Saccharomyces cerevisiae S288C: one gene and its partners. Changing the gene in region 1 together with any one later gene gives a genetic interaction. Each region holds a gene or a part of one and is shown in the gene's direction. Other genes may lie near its edges. The genes, in order: FOB1, BRN1, APE3 and DNA2.

The links.
Region 2: mutations in FOB1 (region 1) and BRN1 are lethal when combined (synthetic lethality), as found in Saccharomyces cerevisiae (2 studies listed by BioGRID, with this or other methods).
Region 3: mutations in FOB1 (region 1) and APE3 together harm fitness more than expected from each alone (negative genetic interaction), as found in Saccharomyces cerevisiae (2 studies listed by BioGRID).
Region 4: of FOB1 (region 1) and DNA2, a mutation in one rescues a mutant of the other (synthetic rescue), as found in Saccharomyces cerevisiae (2 studies listed by BioGRID, with this or other methods).

Annotation. Positions count from the first base shown.
Region 1 is NC_001136.10:674,564-678,360, forward strand, and holds FOB1 (replication fork barrier binding protein FOB1), read left to right. Parts: upstream 1-1,538; coding exon 1,539-3,239; downstream 3,240-3,797. Other genes in the region: YDR109C (putative phosphotransferase), read right to left, coding at 1-1,104; alanine transaminase ALT2, read right to left, coding at 3,678-3,797.
Region 2 is NC_001134.8:39,005-43,620, forward strand, and holds BRN1 (condensin subunit BRN1), read left to right. Parts: upstream 1-1,826; coding exon 1,827-4,091; downstream 4,092-4,616. Other genes in the region: BNA4 (kynurenine 3-monooxygenase), read left to right, coding at 141-1,523; MRX3 (Mrx3p), read left to right, coding at 4,273-4,616. UniProt on the Saccharomyces cerevisiae protein: Regulatory subunit of the condensin complex, a complex required for conversion of interphase chromatin into mitotic-like condense chromosomes.
Region 3 is NC_001134.8:772,790-776,844, forward strand, and holds APE3 (aminopeptidase Y), read left to right. Parts: upstream 1-1,910; coding exon 1,911-3,524; downstream 3,525-4,055. Other genes in the region: YBR284W (metallo-dependent hydrolase superfamily protein), read left to right, coding at 1-843; HAB1 (Hab1p), read left to right, coding at 1,133-1,567; YBR287W (uncharacterized protein), read left to right, coding at 3,782-4,055.
Region 4 is NC_001140.6:424,066-430,762, reverse strand, and holds DNA2 (bifunctional ATP-dependent DNA helicase/ssDNA endodeoxyribonuclease DNA2), read left to right. Parts: upstream 1-1,584; coding exon 1,585-6,153; downstream 6,154-6,697. Other genes in the region: U4/U6-U5 snRNP complex subunit PRP8, read left to right, coding at 1-1,056; 6-phosphogluconolactonase SOL3, read right to left, coding at 6,290-6,697. UniProt on the Saccharomyces cerevisiae protein: Key enzyme involved in DNA replication and DNA repair.

The DNA of each region.
Region 1 (3,797 bases):
ATCTCTATAAGGCCCCCAAACGCCATGGACAAATATAGGGTTTTTTGATAACAAAATATGACACGTAGACGTACCGGCAACAGCTGCCAATCTGCCAATTGCACCATTGAAATCCTTTTTATAATTTTCGGTCTCGGCAAGACCTTTTACTGCTGATTCCGGCTTGGCGGCTACCGTCCCTACCCAGCCTGCATATGCATCAATAATTCCTGAACTTACTACACAATGCTCTGTCAAGCCTAATTGACAGGCAGCCTTTTTATCTAACGGGCTGATACATTCACCTGCGGTCAGAAAGTTTTTTTTTTCCCTTAACGATCCACCCAGTCTTTCAAAATCATTCTTCGTAAGCTCTGAAAGCCCAATTGAATTTAAGAATTCTTTGGACCAGCCTATATCGGAACCTTCGACACCCACTGGTAGAAATCCCTGCTTACAAACAGCAGAACAAAATGACCTATTCTCTTTTCCCGTGGCTTTGAAAGTCAAGTAATCCGGAAGGTCAAAAAACTTACAATCCTGAAAAATTCCAGCTTCTAAGTTGTTCTTCAACCACTTAATCTTCGGAATTTCCATTTCAACAGACATTTGCCCTCCCACATATTTTAAACATTTATCACCAGATGAGTTGATTTCTTCAGTCTCCTTCATCGCCCTATGGTCCATCCATAATATGATATTCTGGTCATTATTGGTAAAATCCGGTCCAACTGCAATTTCTTCAAAATTGGTAGCGGATACGACTACTAAGGAACAAGTCGCATCAAAACCAATTCCACGAACTCTTTCAGGGTCAACTCCTGATTCTTCAACAACAGTTCTAACACAATAGCAAACTGCATTCCAGATTTCTCTTGAAGACTGAGTAATAAAATTGGATATCAATTGTTCCCTTTTTATGGGTTTTTCTGCTAGCGACAACATGTTACCAGATTGATCGATAACACATGCCCTTGCAGAGCCTGTTCCGACATCTACACCAACGTAGAATTTTGCTTCTGGATCTTGTGGAGAAATGCGAGAAATCGAGGTTTCCTGTGACGACAATACCGCTGGCTCCCGTGTTTCATTTTGCATATTGTTTTGGCGTTTCCTGCTTTTCATATAGCCTTAATAATGTACTTTGCAGATGTTTGTTCCTTCGTCTCTTTACATCTTTTCATTGTACTCAGCGGTCTGGGTGTGCAGCTTTCCACATTTACTAATACTGGTCTGTAGCATTTAGTCAAACGGGTGTTATAAAGGTTCAATTTCTTCATCATACCTAACATTGTGATCGAGGTTTCCAGGAAGAGCTTATATATATCAAAACAAGAAACCCAGAGTATCTTTACCCCCACATTCAATATGAGGTGTCAGCCATAATTATTTACATGATAATACTGATATTTTTTCTTTTTCGCGATATATTGAAAAGAAAAAAAAATTGCGAGGTGATTCCTCATCGCATGTATTCATTTTAACGACATTGAATTAAGCCTTCAGGGGGGAGAACAATTTAACGATTGTGTGAGTGTGAATTTGTGCTGAGGATAACAATGACGAAACCGCGTTACAATGACGTGTTGTTTGATGATGATGACTCGGTACCATCAGAATCAGTTACGAGGAAATCGCAGAGAAGAAAGGCAACGTCACCTGGGGAATCAAGAGAGTCCTCAAAAGATCGTCTACTGATACTTCCCTCTATGGGGGAATCATATACTGAGTACGTAGACTCTTATTTGAACTTAGAATTATTGGAAAGGGGAGAAAGAGAAACACCAATCTTTCTTGAATCTCTGACAAGACAACTAACGCAGAAAATATATGAACTAATAAAAACAAAATCTTTAACTGCAGATACCTTGCAACAAATAAGTGATAAATACGATGGTGTAGTGGCAGAAAACAAGCTGTTATTTTTGCAAAGACAGTATTATGTTGATGATGAAGGAAATGTTAGAGATGGCCGAAATAATGATAAAATATACTGTGAGCCAAAGCATGTATACGACATGGTGATGGCAACACACTTGATGAATAAGCATCTTAGGGGTAAAACATTACATTCCTTTTTATTTTCTCATTTTGCCAATATTAGTCATGCCATCATCGATTGGGTCCAGCAATTTTGTTCAAAATGTAATAAAAAGGGCAAAATTAAACCATTGAAGGAATATAAACGTCCTGACATGTACGATAAACTACTACCAATGGAAAGGATACATATTGAGGTATTCGAACCCTTCAATGGAGAAGCTATTGAGGGAAAATATTCTTATGTCCTTTTATGCCGAGACTATCGCTCTAGTTTTATGTGGTTATTACCACTTAAGAGTACCAAATTCAAACATCTTATCCCAGTTGTTTCCTCACTTTTTTTAACATTTGCTAGGGTTCCAATTTTCGTAACATCAAGCACTTTAGATAAAGATGATCTTTATGATATTTGTGAAGAAATTGCATCAAAATACGGTCTCCGTATTGGCTTGGGTTTGAAGAGTTCTGCGAGATTTCATACTGGGGGTATACTGTGCATTCAGTATGCTCTAAATAGTTATAAGAAGGAATGTCTAGCCGATTGGGGTAAGTGCCTAAGATATGGCCCTTACAGATTCAACCGAAGGAGAAATAAGAGAACGAAACGTAAACCTGTGCAAGTACTACTTAGTGAAGTTCCAGGTCACAATGCCAAGTTTGAGACTAAGAGAGAAAGGGTTATAGAAAACACATATTCCCGTAATATGTTCAAGATGGCAGGTGGAAAAGGTCTTATATATTTGGAAGATGTCAATACTTTTGCCCTTGCTAATGAAGCGGATAATAGCTGTAACAATAATGGAATTCTTCATAATAACAATATAGGAAATGATAACTTTGAAGAAGAAGTGCAAAAACAATTTGATCTAACTGAAAAAAACTATATCGATGAGTATGATGATTTGGCACATGATTCTTCAGAGGGCGAATTTGAACCTAATACCTTAACTCCCGAAGAAAAGCCTCCTCATAATGTCGATGAGGACCGAATAGAGTCCACCGGCGTGGCAGCCCCAATGCAGGGAACAGAAGAGCCTGAAAAAGGGGATCAAAAAGAAAGTGACGGTGCATCACAAGTAGATCAAAGTGTCGAAATAACTAGACCAGAAACTTCCTACTATCAAACTCTGGAATCGCCGTCAACAAAACGACAGAAATTAGACCAACAGGGTAATGGAGATCAAACAAGAGACTTTGGCACATCAATGGAATTGTAATAATATGTAGGATAGAATGAAAGGAGGAGTCACCATAGGTGAAAAAAAAAAGCACCTATTGCATATAAAGTATTCAAAAAGGTGTTGAAAGCTCTTCCTGTATATGACCCTGTATTTAATGTACGCGGTTAAAAAATTTTTATATTTTTAAATAAGTATCAACTTGGATAATATGATCTTGCCCGCAAGGTGGTTTTATATGAATAATTACTTTTTTTTTTTTTTTTTTTTTTTTTTTTTTTTTTTAATTGAACAATAGATGCAGAGGAATGCTCCAAAATTTATTTCCTTGAACAATATTACAAGAGGCAGATATATACTTTTCCTTATTTCCCTTAGTAAAGAATGATGCATGTATACTATTACAAATTTAAACTTCACCCCCACCATGGATGCAAAACAAATAGAAAGCCATTATCATTAGTTTTTTTTTTTCATTCAATTACGATACTTGCTGAAGAAATCTTGATGAAATTCTTTCCAGTCTTGAATCCATTTAGTCCCTGGAGCCAAAAACGTTGTTCGCACATGATAAGTCCCGGGTCTTTGTCCGAACCC
Region 2 (4,616 bases), on another chromosome or scaffold:
ATTCTTAGCACTGACTCTTTTTTCCGCCACTATTTCTTATAAAAGGCCCGAATTTCTGGCACGGACGTTGTTTTTAATAATAAAATATTGAATGACAGTTAAAAAATCACGTAGTCAGTTAATCTGTTTAACTTGAAAATATGTCTGAATCAGTGGCCATTATAGGTGCAGGATTAGTAGGCTGCCTTGCAGCTTTGGCATTCTCCAAAGAAGGCTACAATGTCACACTATATGATTTTAGACAAGATCCTCGATTGGACACCACCAAAAATAAAAATTTGAAATCCATTAATTTGGCTATTTCTGCTCGTGGCATTGATGCTCTGAAATCAATAGATCCGGATGCTTGTGAACATATTCTGCAAGATATGATTCCCATGAAAGGCAGGATGATTCATGACTTGAAAGGCAGACAGGAATCACAATTGTATGGCTTGCATGGAGAAGCTATTAATTCTATCAATAGATCTGTATTAAATAATAGCCTTTTGGACGAATTAGAAAAATCTACAACAGAACTGAAGTTCGGTCACAAATTAGTCAAAATCGAATGGACAGATGATAAACAAATCTGTCATTTTGCCATTGGGGAAGATTTGAAAACCCCACATACTGAAAAGTATGATTTTGTCATAGGTTGTGACGGAGCATACTCTGCGACGAGATCGCAAATGCAACGTAAAGTTGAGATGGATTTTTCACAAGAATATATGAATTTACGTTACATTGAACTTTACATCCCGCCTACTGAGGAATTCAAGCCAAACTATGGCGGAAATTTTGCAATAGCTCCTGACCATTTGCACATTTGGCCTCGTCATAAATTCATGTTAATTGCGCTCGCCAACAGTGACGGCTCGTTCACTTCAACCTTTTTCGGTTCTAAAGATCAAATATCAGATCTGATAACTTCCAAGTCACGTGTGAGGGAATTCTTAATCGAGAACTTTCCCGATATTATTAATATTATGGATTTGGACGATGCTGTCAAAAGGTTTATCACTTATCCAAAGGAAAGTCTTGTCTGTGTAAACTGTAAGCCATACGATGTACCAGGCGGAAAGGCCATCCTACTCGGCGACGCTGCCCATGCAATGGTTCCATTTTACGGCCAAGGTATGAATTGCGGATTTGAAGATGTGAGAATTCTTATGGCGCTATTGAAAAAGCATTCAGGAGATCGTTCAAGAGCCTTTACTGAGTACACTCAAACAAGACATAAGGACCTAGTTTCTATTACTGAGCTGGCAAAAAGGAACTATAAAGAAATGTCACATGACGTTACATCCAAGCGGTTTTTATTAAGGAAAAAGCTAGATGCTCTCTTTAGTATTATAATGAAGGATAAGTGGATACCTTTGTATACAATGATATCTTTCAGATCCGATATCTCGTATTCTAGAGCTTTAGAAAGGGCTGGAAAGCAAACACGTATCTTGAAATTCTTAGAATCTCTGACACTCGGTATGTTATCTATTGGCGGTTACAAGCTTTTCAAATTTTTGACAAGAGAACGTTCCTGAAGCCAGTTTATTCTTGCCATCCGTGTACGCTAGGAGAGGATTATTAAAATAAGTGATATATACATATATATATATATATATATATATATAATACACTAATTATTTTATGTGATGTTGATCACGCGAAACGGTAAACGGCTCTGTTCGCGCTTTCTTTGTTTACATTTTAGTGAAGTATTGTCAAGATAATATCCATATGGTTGAACTTTTTATATTGGCTAGTTAAATACTCTATTTATTGCACCAAAAAATCATCTTAGTGGACTTTTTGGAGCAAAAAAAACCAGCAGGTAGTTATATAAGATGACTACACAACTAAGGTATGAAAATAACGATGACGATGAAAGAGTAGAATATAATCTCTTTACCAATAGATCCACCATGATGGCAAATTTTGAAGAATGGATCAAAATGGCTACAGATAATAAAATCAATTCCCGAAATAGTTGGAATTTCGCATTGATCGACTATTTTTATGACTTGGACGTTTTGAAAGATGGCGAGAATAACATCAATTTTCAGAAAGCATCTGCAACCTTGGATGGGTGTATTAAGATTTACTCTTCGAGAGTTGATTCAGTGACAACGGAAACAGGTAAGTTATTGAGCGGGTTGGCACAAAGAAAGACGAATGGGGCATCTAACGGAGATGACAGTAACGGGGGAAATGGTGAAGGGCTTGGAGGTGACAGTGACGAAGCAAATATAGAGATTGATCCCTTAACTGGTATGCCTATATCTAATGATCCTGATGTGAATAACACTAGGCGGAGAGTGTACAACAGAGTTTTAGAAACAACATTGGTGGAGTTCGAAACGATCAAGATGAAAGAGCTAGACCAGGAATTAATAATTGATCCATTATTCAAAAAGGCCTTGGTTGATTTCGATGAAGGTGGCGCCAAGAGTTTATTGTTGAACACATTAAACATAGACAACACTGCAAGAGTCATTTTCGATGCATCAATTAAGGATACACAAAACGTAGGGCAAGGTAAACTTCAAAGGAAAGAAGAAGAATTAATTGAAAGAGATAGTTTAGTAGATGACGAAAATGAACCTAGCCAGTCATTGATAAGTACTCGTAATGACTCAACCGTAAATGATTCCGTTATTAGTGCACCTTCCATGGAAGATGAGATTTTATCTCTTGGTATGGATTTTATAAAATTTGATCAAATTGCGGTGTGTGAAATTTCAGGATCGATTGAGCAACTAAGGAACGTTGTCGAAGATATTAATCAAGCGAAAGACTTTATCGAAAATGTTAACAACAGATTTGATAACTTCTTAACTGAAGAAGAATTGCAAGCAGCTGTCCCAGATAATGCAGAAGATGATAGCGATGGCTTTGATATGGGCATGCAACAGGAGCTGTGCTATCCAGATGAAAATCATGACAATACATCACATGATGAACAAGATGATGATAATGTCAACAGTACCACAGGAAGTATATTCGAAAAAGATTTGATGGCATACTTTGACGAAAATCTAAATAGAAACTGGAGAGGGAGAGAACATTGGAAAGTACGAAATTTTAAGAAAGCAAACTTAGTGAATAAAGAATCCGACCTGTTGGAAGAAACGCGAACTACTATAGGAGATACTACTGACAAAAACACAACGGACGACAAATCGATGGATACGAAGAAGAAGCATAAACAAAAAAAGGTTCTGGAAATTGATTTCTTCAAAACGGATGATAGTTTTGAAGACAAAGTCTTTGCCTCAAAAGGAAGGACAAAGATTGACATGCCGATTAAGAACAGAAAGAACGACACACATTATTTACTGCCGGATGACTTCCATTTTTCCACTGATAGAATAACAAGATTGTTCATTAAACCGGGGCAGAAAATGAGTCTGTTCAGTCATAGGAAGCATACCAGAGGCGACGTTAGTTCGGGGCTTTTTGAAAAAAGCACAGTTTCTGCCAACCATTCAAATAACGACATTCCTACTATTGCAGATGAGCACTTTTGGGCGGATAATTACGAAAGGAAAGAACAAGAGGAAAAAGAAAAGGAGCAGTCTAAAGAGGTTGGTGATGTGGTGGGTGGAGCGCTCGATAATCCGTTTGAAGATGACATGGACGGTGTTGACTTCAACCAAGCTTTCGAAGGAACAGATGATAACGAGGAGGCCAGTGTGAAACTTGATTTACAGGATGACGAAGATCATAAGTTCCCCATTCGAGAAAATAAAGTTACTTATTCAAGAGTTTCGAAAAAAGTTGACGTAAGAAGATTAAAGAAAAACGTATGGAGATCGATCAACAATTTGATACAAGAACATGACAGTAGGAAAAATAGAGAACAAAGCTCTAATGACAGTGAAACCCACACAGAAGATGAATCAACAAAGGAGCTCAAGTTTTCTGATATCATTCAGGGTATAAGTAAAATGTATTCGGATGATACACTAAAGGACATTTCAACAAGCTTTTGTTTTATATGCCTTCTACACTTAGCCAATGAGCATGGGTTGCAGATAACTCATACCGAAAACTATAATGACTTGATAGTGAATTATGAGGATCTAGCGACAACACAGGCAGCGTCATAGTTGATGATCTTTTTTTTTTTTTTTTTTTTTTTTTTTGTGCTGCAAAGTTTCTTAAAGCCTTCGGGCTTACGAAATCCTTTATCGCCGAAAGGGGACCGCTTCGAAAAGTGGATATAAAACAAGGTATTTATTTTTATAGACAATGACCAAATGACAGGATAGATCGAGGGTGAGTTCCAATATGTCCAGAACTATTCCATTTCTATTTAAATTAGTCAACAGGGCAGTAATTTTGCCTACGGCAGGTTTTACATTAGGAGTTGGTGCGTTTGTAAAGGCGTGGCCCGATGATGCCGGTGTTCTATCATTGAATGATCCGCAAACGCCAGCGGAGTTGATTAGTGCGACCAAGAGCCGCCAACCTATGGAGCTGCAGAGGGTTGACATCCTCGCTCAAATCGAGAAAAGCGAGGTTTACAACAAGTTGGCCCAGGATGAGAAGATGCACCATGTCTTATTCAGTGAGAAAATACCAAGCGGGCATAGGGAATATCATGTAGGACAAGGCCTCTTGTTCGGCAAGGG
Region 3 (4,055 bases), on another chromosome or scaffold:
CAAGATACGGACAACTATATTTGGAAAAACTTCACAGCAGTTAGTTGCTTGCCAAAAGATTGGACATCTGGCGGTGATAATCCAACCATTTCACAATATATGTATTACGTCTACGTCAACCTAACAAAATTGAACCATATCCGCCAAGCCCTTCATCAAAATACCTTCACTTTGAGAAGTTCATGTTCTCCCACCTCAATGAATCGAACTTCACAGTTTAGTAATACACTGAACTTCACAGAACATACGGAAGCTATTTTAAACAATTTCTTGCTCGCCTGTGGAGGGTTTCTAAATGCAGAAAATCTCTGGAATGCACCACCATCACTGGTGTATCTTTTCTATCTAAGTCAAATTCCCATGGTTGTGGCGCCTTTGAATTCCATAGTAGATTCAAAGCCTACAATGCTGCAAGAACAAGCCCCGACGGGGCTTGTCCTAGAGCCCTCAAAGCCTTATAAGAAGAACCCTTTCATGAAGTTTTTTGAAATGGGGTTCAAGATATCGCTGAGCTCAGAATCTATCCTCTACAACAATTCGTATACGAAAGAACCCATTATAGAAGAGTATAGTGTAGCGGCTAGTATATACCGTTTACATTCAGCAGATTTATGCGAACTTCTAAGAAACAGTGTCATAACCAGTGGATTTTCAAGTACCCTAAAGAACAAATGGCTCGGCGTTTCCTTAGCCAGCCATGACTACTTCGTGGAAAACACTGGGTTTGTAGACAAGTGGTATGATTGTAAACCAAATACAAGTTTAGAGCATAACGTTCCGATCATCAGACGTCAATATCGCAGTAGCACTCTCGCAGGGGAGTGGCGACTCATAATTGCGTGAATTCGCTCATGTTTCTTCGAGGGGCGCATATTGTGACGCTAATATTATGTACCGCCCTTCCCCACACACACAAAAAAAAAAGGTTAAGGATAAAGATAAGTAAACTAATGGAATATATAAACAAATAAGTAAGTAGATACTGTAAATAGAACACACGTTTTTTAATTTATTTTTTTTTTTACATATCTTAATTTAATATAAATCAAAAAGCCCAAGCCTCAAACAAGAGTCTTATCACTCCATTTATAACATAACAATTCGAAATCTCTAAGCTCGCTTATAGTTGACAATGACCATATTTTCTAGGTTCTCATATTTTGATAGTCTATTCTCCTTTAAAAAGCAAGAGCCTTCCCCCATTGAAATAATCTATTGCAATGAAAACAATGGTTTCATAAACATAAAATCCTTAGAAAGCCCCACTGACGATAGCATGGAGGCGGACATTTCAGATAGAGAAATGGCTACAATCCTGACTAGAAACAGAAACAATTTGGGTAAGGTTGCCATTGATAAGAAAGGCGTTAATAATCATTGCATAGATTTGAATGAGCTGAAAAAGGGCCTTGTCGCCAATGAACACAAATTGGATAACGATAACTCAACACGGCACCAGAACACATATTCACCAGAGGATTCCGTGGAATTTGATAGGTTCGATGATAAACAAAGCAGAATACTAAAGTGTAGCACTAGAAGGAGCTACTTGAGATACAAGAAATAAGACAATTGAGCTGCTTCATTATATATCTTGATATAATCACCTTTCTTATCGTCAGAAAGAGTGTTCTCTATGTTTTTGTGCTTCCATAAATATATAGTTCAAAAAGTAATATCATATACTATTAATAATAAAAGTTATACTGAATATATTGATTAGTTCTATTAATTACTATTGACACACTTTGAATTCCCTTAAATTAACCCTCAGGAAGAAGGGGTCCTTAGGAAAATTTTTCTTTTTTCAATATAAAAGCGAGGAACAATGGATGGGAACAAAACCATGTTCAGCCTTTCAACAATTGGTAGAAGAAGCCAAAAAAAAAAAAAAAACAGAAACGCCAACCATGCACTTTTCTTTGAAGCAATTGGCTGTCGCTGCGTTTTACGCTACCAATTTAGGCTCTGCCTATGTCATTCCTCAATTCTTCCAGGAAGCCTTTCAACAAGAAGAGCCAATTGAGAATTATCTTCCGCAATTAAACGACGATGATAGCTCTGCCGTTGCTGCCAACATTCCGAAGCCACATATTCCTTACTTCATGAAACCACATGTAGAAAGTGAAAAATTGCAAGATAAAATCAAAGTTGACGATTTGAATGCTACTGCTTGGGACCTCTACCGTTTAGCTAACTATTCTACTCCTGACTACGGTCACCCTACCCGTGTGATCGGGTCCAAGGGTCATAACAAGACTATGGAATACATATTGAATGTTTTCGATGACATGCAGGACTACTATGATGTTTCTTTGCAAGAGTTCGAAGCTTTATCCGGTAAGATCATCTCTTTCAACCTCTCTGACGCCGAAACCGGTAAAAGCTTTGCTAACACTACAGCTTTCGCACTTTCTCCACCTGTGGACGGGTTCGTAGGTAAGCTAGTCGAAATTCCTAACTTGGGATGTGAAGAGAAGGATTACGCCTCTGTAGTCCCACCAAGACACAACGAAAAGCAAATTGCCCTTATCGAAAGAGGTAAGTGTCCTTTTGGCGATAAGAGTAATTTGGCCGGTAAGTTCGGTTTCACCGCTGTGGTCATTTACGACAACGAACCTAAATCTAAAGAAGGACTACACGGTACATTAGGCGAACCTACCAAGCACACTGTCGCCACCGTCGGTGTTCCATATAAAGTTGGTAAAAAATTGATTGCCAATATTGCATTGAACATCGATTATTCATTATATTTTGCCATGGACTCTTATGTAGAATTTATCAAGACCCAGAACATCATTGCCGACACAAAACACGGTGATCCTGATAATATTGTTGCCCTTGGTGCTCATTCAGACTCTGTTGAGGAGGGCCCAGGTATCAACGACGATGGTTCCGGTACTATTTCCCTATTGAACGTCGCTAAGCAATTGACCCATTTCAAGATCAATAACAAGGTCCGTTTTGCATGGTGGGCTGCTGAAGAAGAAGGTTTGCTAGGCTCTAACTTCTACGCTTATAACTTGACCAAAGAAGAAAACTCCAAGATCAGAGTATTTATGGACTATGACATGATGGCTTCTCCAAACTATGAATACGAAATTTATGATGCGAACAACAAGGAGAACCCTAAGGGGTCTGAAGAGTTGAAAAACCTGTACGTAGACTACTACAAGGCTCATCACTTGAACTACACTTTGGTCCCATTTGACGGTAGATCCGATTATGTCGGGTTTATCAACAACGGAATTCCAGCCGGTGGTATTGCCACTGGTGCCGAAAAGAATAACGTCAACAACGGAAAGGTCTTAGACAGATGCTACCATCAATTATGTGATGATGTCTCTAACTTATCCTGGGACGCATTCATTACCAACACCAAGTTGATTGCTCACTCTGTGGCCACCTATGCTGACTCTTTCGAGGGTTTCCCAAAAAGAGAAACCCAAAAGCACAAAGAGGTGGACATATTGAATGCTCAACAACCACAATTTAAGTACAGGGCCGACTTCTTGATTATTTAAGTGTACTGTTCACATCAAGTATTTCTGTATAATTATCTAAAAGAAAATAAAAACCCTCTTTTTTTTAACTGCACGTGCATCAAGGGGATCACAGCCTCCTTATCAAAGTGAAAAAAAGGTAGAAAAAAAAACTGAAATTGTGATATAAAAGTTTAAACAGGAAATTATTGTAAATTGAACAATATGTGTGAAGCCCGTTTTTGGTTTGTTATTCCCAACTAACCATACCCTCATAGATTACTCTGCATTTCTACTATATGGTTGAAACATTTAGTTTTGCTCATTTGGCTTATTTGGTCTTTGAGTCCGTTTTACAGGTAGTCATTATCGCACTCGCTGGTTTTTGGAGCGCTAGTTCTGGTCTGCTGCCCAAACAAAGTCAAAAAATCATTTCTCTGTTGAACGTGGACCTTTTTACACCATGTCTTATTTTTAGTAAGTTGGCCAAATCCCTGTCCATGGCCAAAATCTTTGAAATAGCCATCATTCCTATTTTTTTTGGTTTGACTACTGGTATTTCATTTATTTCCG
Region 4 (6,697 bases), on another chromosome or scaffold:
TACGGCAGAAAATACAATGTCAATATATCTGCCTTAACTCAAACGGAAATTAAAGATATTATATTGGGTCAAAATATCAAGGCACCATCTGTGAAGAGACAAAAAATGGCTGAATTAGAAGCTGCCAGGTCAGAAAAGCAGAACGACGAAGAAGCTGCAGGTGCATCAACTGTTATGAAAACTAAAACTATCAATGCGCAAGGTGAGGAGATAGTTGTAGTAGCTTCCGCTGATTACGAAAGTCAAACGTTTAGTTCAAAGAATGAATGGAGAAAATCTGCAATTGCTAATACACTATTATATTTGAGGTTAAAAAACATTTATGTTTCGGCTGATGATTTCGTGGAGGAACAGAATGTTTACGTCCTTCCAAAAAATTTATTAAAGAAGTTTATTGAGATATCCGATGTGAAAATCCAGGTGGCGGCCTTTATTTATGGTATGTCAGCAAAAGATCATCCGAAGGTGAAAGAAATCAAGACTGTTGTGCTGGTACCTCAATTAGGCCACGTAGGATCCGTTCAGATAAGCAACATCCCTGACATCGGAGACCTTCCGGATACTGAAGGCCTTGAACTACTCGGTTGGATCCATACCCAGACAGAAGAACTTAAATTCATGGCTGCGTCTGAAGTAGCAACTCATTCTAAACTTTTTGCGGATAAGAAAAGAGACTGCATTGATATTTCAATTTTTTCCACCCCGGGATCAGTATCATTAAGCGCTTATAACCTGACCGACGAAGGTTACCAATGGGGTGAAGAAAATAAGGATATAATGAACGTGCTATCGGAAGGGTTTGAGCCTACTTTCAGCACGCATGCCCAATTACTTCTCTCTGACCGTATCACAGGTAATTTTATAATTCCATCTGGAAACGTTTGGAACTACACATTTATGGGAACAGCATTTAACCAAGAAGGTGACTACAATTTTAAATACGGCATTCCTTTGGAATTCTATAATGAGATGCATCGTCCAGTACACTTTTTACAGTTTAGCGAATTGGCGGGGGACGAAGAGTTAGAGGCCGAACAAATCGATGTATTTAGCTGAATATATTCCCCAATAAACTGGAATCTGTTATTTCATAGATATATATGTAAGTATAAGTTTGTATGTATAATATTCAACGCATTTTTTATGCCCGTCGTAGTTGCTACCTACCACACGATGATGTATTATAATTTCGGAACTACTTCAAAGCTACGCTTTCCGCACTATGAAAAGCTATAAGTATGTGAAAATTGGTCATTGACTGTGATTCTATTTCAAAAAGTAACCAAAGGAGATAGACATCGTTCGGACAGAAAATGGTCCGTTGTCACTCCCATTCCATTATGTCCTTCATATAGAAATTGGATATTCTTGTTTTCATTTCGCGCAATAAAGCAATTCCGTGCGGCAGAAAGAACTTATATATATTTAACTGATCTTACGCTATTTATGGCAAAACTTGTGTTACATTTTTGAAGATAAAGTTACAATCATTACGGCAGCCTCAAAACAAAATTGGGAGAAAACATACTCAAGTGAGTACTCATTTTGTGCAAGCAAACACTGACAATTGAAGAGATCGTCAGGATGCCCGGAACGCCACAGAAGAACAAGAGGTCTGCGAGTATATCTGTTTCACCTGCGAAGAAGACAGAGGAAAAAGAAATAATACAAAATGATTCAAAGGCGATATTATCTAAGCAAACTAAGAGGAAAAAAAAGTATGCTTTTGCTCCTATAAATAACTTAAATGGGAAGAACACCAAGGTATCCAATGCAAGTGTCCTAAAGTCAATAGCCGTTTCACAAGTACGAAATACATCAAGAACAAAAGATATAAACAAAGCAGTTAGCAAGAGCGTAAAGCAATTACCAAATTCACAAGTTAAACCGAAACGGGAAATGTCTAATTTGAGTAGGCATCACGATTTCACTCAAGACGAGGACGGCCCCATGGAAGAAGTAATATGGAAATATTCACCTTTACAACGAGATATGTCCGACAAAACAACAAGCGCTGCCGAATACTCTGATGACTACGAAGATGTCCAAAATCCCTCTTCTACACCTATAGTCCCTAATCGACTGAAAACTGTTCTTAGTTTCACAAATATCCAAGTACCCAACGCTGACGTAAATCAACTCATTCAAGAAAATGGAAATGAGCAAGTGCGTCCTAAACCAGCAGAAATATCTACCAGGGAGTCTCTCCGTAATATAGATGATATTCTCGATGATATAGAGGGCGATTTAACTATAAAACCGACGATAACGAAATTCAGCGATTTGCCATCTTCACCCATCAAGGCACCCAACGTTGAAAAAAAAGCAGAGGTGAATGCAGAAGAAGTAGATAAAATGGATTCAACAGGAGATAGCAACGATGGCGATGACTCTTTGATAGATATTTTAACTCAAAAGTATGTTGAGAAACGCAAGAGTGAGAGTCAGATAACAATTCAAGGCAACACCAATCAAAAAAGTGGAGCCCAGGAAAGTTGTGGGAAGAATGATAACACAAAATCGAGAGGAGAAATTGAAGATCATGAAAATGTAGACAATCAAGCCAAAACAGGCAATGCATTTTATGAGAATGAAGAAGACAGTAATTGCCAAAGAATTAAAAAAAATGAAAAAATAGAATACAATTCTTCAGACGAATTTTCAGACGATTCACTAATTGAACTATTGAACGAAACTCAAACACAAGTGGAACCTAACACTATTGAACAAGATTTAGACAAAGTGGAGAAAATGGTCTCTGACGATTTGAGAATTGCTACTGATTCCACTTTATCCGCATATGCTCTCAGAGCTAAGTCTGGTGCTCCAAGAGACGGCGTAGTACGATTAGTAATAGTAAGCTTACGTAGTGTTGAATTGCCAAAAATTGGAACGCAAAAAATACTAGAGTGTATAGACGGCAAAGGCGAACAAAGTTCTGTTGTCGTTCGACATCCTTGGGTATATTTGGAATTTGAGGTTGGGGATGTAATACATATTATAGAAGGGAAAAATATTGAAAACAAACGGCTTCTTTCTGACGACAAAAACCCTAAAACTCAACTGGCTAACGACAACCTGTTGGTGCTAAACCCTGATGTATTATTTTCGGCAACATCAGTCGGAAGTTCAGTAGGTTGTTTAAGACGTTCAATTCTGCAAATGCAATTTCAAGATCCCCGCGGAGAACCAAGCCTTGTCATGACTTTAGGCAATATCGTACACGAGTTATTGCAAGACTCAATCAAATACAAGCTCTCGCATAATAAAATTTCTATGGAAATCATAATACAAAAGCTGGATTCTTTGTTAGAAACTTATTCTTTTTCAATTATCATTTGTAATGAAGAAATCCAGTACGTTAAAGAATTAGTTATGAAAGAACATGCTGAAAACATTTTGTACTTCGTCAATAAATTTGTTTCGAAAAGTAACTATGGTTGCTACACATCAATTTCCGGAACAAGAAGAACACAGCCAATTTCTATATCCAATGTGATTGATATTGAAGAAAACATTTGGTCTCCAATATATGGTCTTAAAGGGTTCCTAGATGCAACTGTTGAAGCTAATGTTGAAAACAATAAAAAACACATCGTTCCTTTAGAAGTGAAAACTGGAAAATCCAGAAGCGTTTCATACGAGGTTCAAGGCCTTATTTATACACTTCTGTTAAATGATCGCTATGAGATACCGATAGAGTTTTTTCTTCTTTATTTTACGAGGGATAAAAATATGACAAAGTTCCCTTCTGTTCTGCACTCCATTAAACATATTCTCATGTCCCGAAATAGAATGAGTATGAATTTTAAGCATCAACTCCAAGAGGTTTTCGGACAGGCTCAATCAAGGTTTGAATTACCACCCTTACTGCGCGATTCATCTTGTGATTCATGTTTCATCAAAGAATCATGCATGGTGTTGAATAAGCTACTAGAGGACGGGACACCAGAAGAAAGTGGCCTGGTAGAAGGTGAGTTTGAAATTTTGACAAACCATTTGTCGCAAAATCTCGCCAACTACAAAGAGTTTTTTACAAAATATAATGATCTAATAACTAAGGAGGAGTCAAGTATAACATGTGTAAATAAAGAACTTTTCTTATTGGATGGTTCCACAAGAGAATCCAGAAGTGGAAGGTGCCTTTCTGGCTTGGTTGTGTCAGAGGTGGTTGAACATGAAAAAACAGAGGGAGCGTATATATATTGCTTCTCAAGACGTAGAAATGATAATAACTCGCAGTCGATGTTATCATCTCAAATTGCTGCTAATGACTTTGTTATTATTAGTGATGAGGAGGGTCATTTTTGCTTGTGCCAAGGTCGTGTACAATTTATAAATCCCGCTAAAATTGGTATCTCCGTAAAACGAAAGTTATTAAACAATAGGCTTCTAGATAAGGAAAAAGGAGTCACTACCATCCAAAGTGTGGTCGAATCAGAGCTAGAACAATCCAGTCTCATAGCTACCCAAAATTTGGTCACATATAGAATCGACAAAAATGATATCCAACAGAGTTTGTCTTTAGCGCGATTTAATCTTTTAAGCTTGTTTTTACCAGCTGTTTCACCTGGCGTGGATATTGTTGACGAAAGGAGTAAATTATGTCGGAAGACAAAGAGATCTGATGGAGGTAATGAAATACTGCGATCACTTTTAGTTGATAATAGAGCACCTAAGTTTAGAGATGCAAATGATGATCCCGTCATTCCGTATAAGCTTTCAAAGGATACAACATTGAACTTGAATCAAAAAGAAGCAATAGACAAAGTAATGAGGGCCGAAGATTATGCATTGATATTGGGAATGCCAGGGACTGGTAAGACTACTGTTATCGCAGAAATTATTAAAATTCTCGTTTCCGAGGGGAAACGCGTGCTTTTGACATCATACACACATTCAGCAGTGGATAATATTTTAATAAAATTGAGGAACACCAACATTAGCATAATGAGATTGGGAATGAAACATAAGGTCCATCCTGACACGCAAAAATATGTCCCGAATTACGCGTCAGTGAAAAGTTATAACGATTATTTGTCCAAAATTAACAGCACCTCTGTTGTTGCTACCACCTGCTTAGGAATTAACGATATACTATTTACACTAAATGAAAAGGATTTTGATTATGTGATTTTGGACGAGGCAAGTCAAATTTCAATGCCTGTCGCTTTGGGACCTCTGCGGTATGGAAATAGGTTTATTATGGTAGGAGATCATTACCAGCTACCGCCATTAGTTAAAAATGACGCAGCTCGATTAGGTGGGTTAGAAGAGTCACTGTTCAAGACTTTCTGTGAAAAGCATCCGGAAAGCGTTGCAGAACTGACTTTACAGTACCGTATGTGCGGCGATATTGTAACTTTGTCTAATTTCCTAATTTATGATAATAAATTAAAATGCGGGAATAACGAAGTTTTTGCTCAATCTTTAGAGTTACCAATGCCTGAGGCCTTGTCGCGCTATAGGAATGAATCGGCTAACTCTAAGCAGTGGCTTGAGGATATACTAGAGCCTACAAGAAAAGTGGTATTTTTAAATTACGATAACTGCCCGGATATTATCGAACAAAGCGAAAAGGATAACATTACGAATCACGGGGAGGCAGAATTGACTCTACAATGTGTGGAAGGAATGTTATTGAGCGGCGTACCATGCGAAGATATTGGTGTAATGACGTTATACAGAGCACAGTTAAGATTACTGAAGAAGATATTCAACAAAAATGTGTATGACGGGCTAGAGATCTTGACTGCTGATCAGTTTCAAGGTCGTGACAAAAAGTGCATTATTATTTCCATGGTTAGAAGAAATTCTCAATTAAATGGAGGAGCGCTGCTGAAAGAGCTAAGAAGAGTCAATGTTGCCATGACAAGGGCCAAATCCAAGCTGATCATTATAGGTTCAAAAAGTACAATCGGCTCTGTTCCTGAAATAAAATCGTTCGTGAACCTGTTAGAAGAGCGTAATTGGGTCTATACAATGTGCAAGGATGCACTCTACAAATACAAATTTCCCGACAGATCAAACGCTATTGATGAGGCACGCAAAGGTTGTGGAAAAAGAACAGGTGCCAAACCCATCACATCAAAGTCTAAATTCGTAAGCGATAAACCTATCATAAAGGAAATTCTACAAGAGTATGAAAGTTGACAGGGGGAATAAGAAGAGCTTCTCCATAACAGGAAAGCTATCACAGCATAAAATATCTATGTCATTTTATAAAGTTTGGTATATATAACACGTAATATTAGCATCTGAGGTTCGAAAGCTCGCATGTGTGTCTTTTCTAAAAAGTTTTCGTTTGAACTTTTCCAAAAGCTTCCTCATTAACGAACCAGGATGTTTTTTCACCAAATAATTTGTTAACCAATGCGGTTGGCAATTGATCGTTTTTCAAGTCAAAGATCTCATGCATTATATTTTGTTTGGAACTGCCCTCAGCCACAAAACACAGGGCTTTGGCGTCTTTCAACACAGGCAGAGTGAAGGTGATTCTGTCACTTGGAGGCTTGGGAGAATCGTGGCACCAAGCAACTCTTTTGGTTGTTTCGTTCAGCAAGTACCTATGTGTTTCTCCAGGGAATAAGGAACAAGTGTGTCCATCAGGACCACAGCCCAACAGTACCAAATCAAGCACTTGAGGTACGATACGCTCGTACTCTGCAGCAATTTTGTTGTTAGATTCAGCATCGCT